Linked DNA regions of Tribolium castaneum. The protein of the gene in region 1 purifies or fractionates together with the protein of each later gene. This does not show direct contact. Links are inferred from orthologs where the notes say so. Each region holds a gene or a part of one and is shown on either strand. Other genes may lie near its edges. The genes, in order: iron-sulfur cluster assembly 2 homolog, mitochondrial; putative transferase CAF17 homolog, mitochondrial.

What was found.
Region 2: the proteins of iron-sulfur cluster assembly 2 homolog, mitochondrial (region 1) and putative transferase CAF17 homolog, mitochondrial purify together in Homo sapiens (co-immunoprecipitation; 4 studies listed by BioGRID and IntAct, with this or other methods). This does not show direct contact. The link is inferred for Tribolium castaneum from reciprocal best matches to the Homo sapiens genes ISCA2 and IBA57.

What each region holds. Positions count from the first base shown.
Region 1 is NC_087396.1:12,845,067-12,847,768, forward strand, and holds iron-sulfur cluster assembly 2 homolog, mitochondrial, read left to right. Parts: upstream 1-1,174; 5' UTR 1,175-1,291; coding exon 1,292-1,557; intron 1,558-1,604; coding exon 1,605-1,782; 3' UTR 1,783-1,901; downstream 1,902-2,702. Other genes in the region: uncharacterized protein Sse, read left to right, coding at 1-82, 128-294; protein FAM136A, read right to left, coding at 364-480, 526-744, 792-878; protein phosphatase 1 regulatory subunit 21, read right to left, coding at 1,909-2,295, 2,341-2,571, 2,623-2,702. UniProt on the Homo sapiens protein: Involved in the maturation of mitochondrial 4Fe-4S proteins functioning late in the iron-sulfur cluster assembly pathway. May be involved in the binding of an intermediate of Fe/S cluster assembly.
Region 2 is NC_087396.1:19,132,205-19,135,786, reverse strand, and holds putative transferase CAF17 homolog, mitochondrial, read left to right. Parts: upstream 1-1,572; 5' UTR 1,573-1,708; exon of another isoform or gene 1,709-1,712; intron 1,713-1,760; 5' UTR 1,761-1,776; coding exon 1,777-2,787; 3' UTR 2,788-3,008; downstream 3,009-3,582. Other genes in the region: uncharacterized protein LOC100142251, read right to left, coding at 3,068-3,133, 3,180-3,311, 3,357-3,582. UniProt on the Homo sapiens protein: Mitochondrial protein involved in the maturation of mitochondrial [4Fe-4S]-proteins in the late stage of the iron-sulfur cluster assembly pathway. Operates in cooperation with ISCA2 in the maturation of [4Fe-4S] proteins.

The DNA.
Region 1 (2,702 bases):
GAATTTTTGAGTTACTGGATACCGTGTTCAAAAGTCCATTGGAAACACCTGGATAAGGCGAAATGGAAGAAAGGCGAAAAAGGTAAACAAAATGTGAAAATCGCACACGGCGTTAATTGTTTTGTAGTAAATTTTTCAAAACAACACTTTGATCCGCCACCCACTTGCCACACTCACGAGCCAGAGTTGTTGAAAGCCCTAAGTGCCGTAAAAAAATCATCAGAGATAAACTTCTACGCAACCCGAGCGGCATGTGTGGCACGGGGAATCCCCGTTAAAATAGCCACAAATTAATTTTTTTAACATGTTTTATTATTCAAGTGTAACTAAAAACAACAACCACTATATATAGTTTGCTCGACCTCACTTATTTTTTCCTAGTTCAGATTTCATTCGTTTTAAAAGCGAGGGCATGTATGCAATTTGTTTATCAACACAGTTTTTGGCACACGTTTCAAACAGCGCTGTATATTTACTAACCTAAAAAACGTAATATATTTTTGCAAGTTTGGCAAATTGTTTTACTTCAGCTTCCGAAGGATTAGGCCCCATTTTCACCCGAATGTCGTCGTTACAGTCCATAACGCACCTTTGTAGCTTATTTTGGAGCTGTTCTAGCTCTCTTTGGACGTAATTCTGGGCATAGTTCACGGACGAGGCGCAGTTTTCGACGCATTTTTGAACACTTTCGAGTGAGATTTCCCGGTTGTCGCAGCATTTCGCAGCGCAGCGATGCATGTCGGCCTGGAAAGCTGAATTTTCCGAATTTGGTCACAAATTATATACAGTACCTGCATTTTGCGCAAATACTCCAAATCGAGCTCGTTGACCATTTTGGTCATTTCTTGCTCAATTCTCTGTCTCTGCTGCTCGACCATTTTTGATTTGTGCGAGAATTCCGGTCTTGTGATAAGAAAAATTAAAAACGTGAATTTTGTGAGGTTATGCTAACCTAACCTAAATGGCACCAACTGTCGCAGATTTACAGGTTACTGTAAAATTGTACTTTGACTTCCGACACCTAGATATCGCTGCCCACATTTTTTTTATTTTTTTGTATAGTTTAAAAAATTTTATAAAATCTGTAATTCACAGCAGAGAATCGAGCAAGAAGTGAGTAAATGACCAAAATAGTCAACGAGCTCGATTTGTATACTGTATAAAATCTGCGACCAAATTCGGAAAATTCAGCTTTCCAGGCCGGCATTTCTAGTAATTTTTGGTTTTGATGCAACTGTTGGCAAGAGCCGCTTAACTGTCAAATTATGGCACTGCCAAAATAATCTAACCTATGAAAATGTCAGGGTTAGTGAGACGGTTCTATCCGTTTAAAATTAATAGTGTGCGTAATTTTTTATCCCGAAATTATTCAAAACCTGTAATTAAACCTTTGGAGCACATAAAACCGGAATTAATTATCACTGACACTTGCGTCGAGCGTTTGAAAAATATCAGTAAAAATTCGGATGAGTTCTTAAGAGTGAGTGTAGATGGGGGCGGTTGCTCGGGCTTCCAGTATAAATTTGACCTAGACTCGAAAATTAATGAAGACGATAAGTGAGTGAGCACCGATTATGTATTTTTAGCTACAAATGATTTTGCAGAATATTTGAAAAAAATGGAGCTAAAGTTGTGATTGATGAAACGTCATTGGACTTTGTTAGAGGAGCGACGGTCGACTACCGGGAAGAACTAATTAAATCTTCCTTCAGGATTGTCAATAACCCGTTAGCTGAGCAAGGGTGTTCCTGTGGGTCGTCTTTTGCTGTCAGACTGGATTAAACAGATTAGTGCAATAACTGTATTAGACTTTTTTGCAAATATGTAAATAAATACAGGTCGATTAAACAAACCGCATAATTTATACAGAGTAAATAATGTAAATAAATTATTAAATTAAAGGAATGTTTACTTTTTGCTCGCAATTTTATGTTTGAGTGCTTGGATTTCGTCGCACTGTTTCGTGATCTTATCATTTTGGGCGGCTATATGTTCAGTCATTGCATCAAGCTGACTCTTGTAATTTTCTATAGTGGTAAGCAACTCTTCATTGCTCTTCTCTAGATTGCCTTCTATTTCCTTGTTTACCACAGTCAGATGTTCTAATCTTGAATATAAGGCTTGATTTTCACCCCACAAAGTTTTGGTTTCTGAGAAGGCCATTTGCTTGGCTTGCAACAATTCGCCCAATTGAGATTCGTAATATTCAGTCAACCGTTCGTTTGATTGTGGTTTGGAACGCAGGACTTCGCATTCAGAGCGCCACCTCTCAGCTTCCTCTTTCCAAAAAGTGACCTAAAATGCACTTTATAGCTTTCCGAATTTTTTGAAGAGAAATACCTCATTCTGGTCTTCACTGGATTTATTAGACGCAACATCAGAATTTAGCACATCCATGTGCTGCTCCTCGACCTTCTTTTCGACTTCATATTTCGCCCTTTTAAGCTTGGCAATGTCCTCTAAATATTTCGTTTCCTTCTGGTGATATTCTTTCTCACAGTTATCTAATCTTTTCTCCAACCATGCGATTCTCTCCTTGCAATCGCTCAGCTCGTACTCCTTATCAGCCATCTACAACACGCCTAAAAATAACCAGCAACAGTAGCAAATATAAATATTTACACTGCTAACAAGTTGGGCATTTTCTAGAATTTTTTTCTGCAACTCCTCGTCCAGGACACTAGTGTCTGATTGAATGATGT
Region 2 (3,582 bases), about 6.3 Mb from region 1:
CGAAGGGTAATTTCCTGCCCGGTTTTCGTAGCTCGAGCTGCTACGCCGATATTGCCTCCATATGCCTTTTTAAAAGCAGCTCTTTGAACCAACAAGGAGGTGATAATTGCATTTCGTGCACGCTGTACTTGCAAAACTGGAAAATTTGCTGCAAACAACTGGATCTAGCGGTATTATTAACTAGTTGTACCAAAAATTAATAAAATTTCATTTAAAAATGATGCTTTTCGGAGCGTTAAAATACCTCCCAATCAAACATATTTTTGTTGAACTCAAAAATATTTAACCAAATTCAGAAAAGCTATACCTACCGACACATTTTCTCAACCTAAATCAATTCCTTTCTTGAAATTCTTTTCTCATTGGTGGAAAAACATCATCATCAAAAACATATTTCCGTTAAATCTAGTTATTTTTTAAAAACAGGAAAGCTGCAACGTTTTGTGAATTATATAAATGCTCAGCCCATTATTATAAGGTCACATCTAACAAAGGCGCCAGATAAAAACGTACAGTTTTACTAAAAAAATCGGAAATGAGGTAAATTGTTGTTTGCTCAAATTTTTGCGAAACAAACTATTCTGAAATATTTTTAGGAAACTTTACAGTGTGACGGTGATCTTCATATTGGTCAAGCTTTTCCAATCTAATGCATTCTCCACTTTTGAAGAATTACCTGCTAATAATTTCACAAATGTTGCACATTTGGAATTTGTAGAAGATTTATCGCAAGATTCAGCCAGTAATGTTTCTTGTCGAGTTAATGCAAATAATACTATTTGCCACCTAAGTAAAAAACACGTTGTGTCAATTAACAACAACTTAATGCAGAAATTTAGGAACATTGCGACGCTATCAGTGAGATGGGGCCCACATGATGTTGTGGAAATTGCCGACGATGCATTGAATAATTTAAAAAACATAAAAGAATTGAGTTTGAAAAATTGTTACATCAAATCTCACGTTTTTAAAAATGCGAGTTTGTTGAAAATTTTGTATGTGGCGCAAAGTACGTTTGAAAGTATACAAGAAGACTGTTTTGAAGGTTTACCAAATCTGGAAGAGTTGTGGATTTCTTTAAGCAACGTTGTGATAATTCGTCGAGGCTTTTTTAAAAATCTACCAAACCTAACGGCCTTATTACTTCCCGAAAATGGAATAGAGGGGATAGAGAAAAATGCAATTTCCTACACCAAAAACCTGGCAGTGCTTAATTTGAGTCACAACCGGCTTACGTACCTGCCAGACTGTTTCAAAAGTTTAGCAAAGTTAACCATTCTTTCATTACGCAATAACTTGATAAAATATTTAAACTGGAAAGACTTTCGTGGATTAATTTCCTTGGAGTATTTGGACTTATCCAACAACAAAATGGGTTCGTTTGATGCCAAAATAATTGGGACTTATTTTCCCAACTTGCGGATGCTGAGATTGGATGGAAATGTGGTAACCGTGCAAAAAATTAAACACTTTTCCGATCAACTACAAGAGATGTTCAACCGTTCGGTTGTTGCATATTCAGCACAATAAATAAACAATTTGAACAGCACAGAAACTTTCGATTCAAAAAAAGCGCTTAAAATACTGTCATTGATGACAATTGATCTAACCTCACATATTACGACATTGCATTTTCAAAAAAATTGGCAAAACTACAATCTCGCAAGTGTAGTAATATTACACAAGTGTTTATTTTGTTGAGATTATTGTGGGTACGTGTTTGCGTGCCGAACCATTAGAAATTTAACCAAAGTTTTTAGGTTAGGTCCGTCGAAAATGTTAAAATTGAAACCAATAATATCCCACTTATCTTTGAAACGACTCCTATCAACGTTATCACCGAACGTTTTAGAGCCCCTAAATAACAGGTCACTAATTCGCGTGGCAGGACCGGACGTTTCAAATTTTCTCCAAGGATTAATTACGAACGATATTGAACATTTGAGTTCAGGACCGGGCTGCATGTACACAATGTTCCTAAACAGCGCCGGTCGGATTCTCTACGACGCTATTGTTTACCGCAATTCCGAAAACAACACATATTTGGTGGAATGTGACACCAAATCGGCTGATATTTTGCAAAAACATTTAAAACTGTACAGAGTCAGGCGTAAAATCGACATTACAAGCTTAAGCGATGAGTTAAAAATTTACGCCTTGTTTGACACGAAGAACTTTGACTTGAATTCAAACCAAAAATTGGCAAATCCGCCGCTCGAAACCCCATTTAAAGCCCATAAAGAACTGCTGATTTATCGCGACCCAAGAATCACAAATTTAGGTTTACGGATAATTGCAAAAAGTGACGTTAATGTTCCCGAACAACTTGGTGATAATTTCAATGTCACGCAAAACTCGTCAAGCAAAAACTATCGTTGGCTGCGCTATAGTTTAGGAGTTGGGGAGGGCGTTGAAGATTTGCCTCCAGGAGAGTGTTTTCCGCTTGAATGTAACTGTGATTATTTGCACGGTGTTAGCTTCCATAAAGGCTGTTACGTGGGGCAGGAGTTAACAGCTCGGGTGCATCACACTGGTGTGGTCAGGAAACGGTTAATGCCTCTCCACTTTAGCAAAATACCCACGAAATATCCAGACGAAAAAATCGTCCAAGAAAATGTTAGTTTAGGCAAATTGAGGGGCATTGAAGGGGACGTAGGTTTGGCTTCACTGAGAATAGCGAAAACTTTGGCTTTCAAGGAACTAAAATTGGGAGATGGAGTTGCCGTAACGTCCAGACCTAGCTGGTGGCCCCAGGAAGCACCCAAAGAAAAAATTAAGTGCGCGTAAATTGTTGAAATCAAAGGCGCCTATGATTGGAATTAAGTTGGCAGCATTGAATCAAATTCAAAATGTCAATTCAGACGCTTATTGCCAACATAAAGACATTTTGAATAGAAATTTGTTTCGTTTGTGCCTTAGATGTGTGTTACCTGATTTATTAGTTAATGGAAAGGTGACAAAGAACTGTACTTCTGTAGACTGTACATAAAATAAACCACTGATCTGGATTAAGTTTATTCAGTATCATTCCTAGTCCAGTGTTACAATAATTGAACTTAGTAAAAAATTATTTTGGCGCTATCTGCTTAACCAATTTTTTCTTTTGCAACAACCCTTTGTTGAATTTCTTTTTCTGTAAAAGAGTTGTAAGAAAATACGTCTTGTCAAAGTGGAATTACCTTTTTCTCTGCATGCTTAACGCCTTGAAAAGCTTGATTTCCCTTCAAATGCAGCTTTTCCTCAAATTCTCCTTTTACGTCATCAGTTTTCTCCGCATTTTTCGCATATCTGCGTTTTCCAGCATTTATTACCTAGAAAAGCATTAATCCGAGTTATAAAAAGGTGGAAGAAATTACCTTTTTCGCTTTGCGCATTTTTTTGTCATTCTTTGCGGCTTTAAAGTTATATAATTTGATTCTTAATTCCCTATCTTTCAGTGTAACATTTTCCATTTCTAGCGCAAGTGTAACCGAATCGGAATTTTTGAAGTTGACAAAACCAAATCCTTTTCCGATCCCGGTTTTCCCATCCCTTACAATCCTGACGGAGGCAATGGGGCCACAGGATTCGAATGTTTTCCAT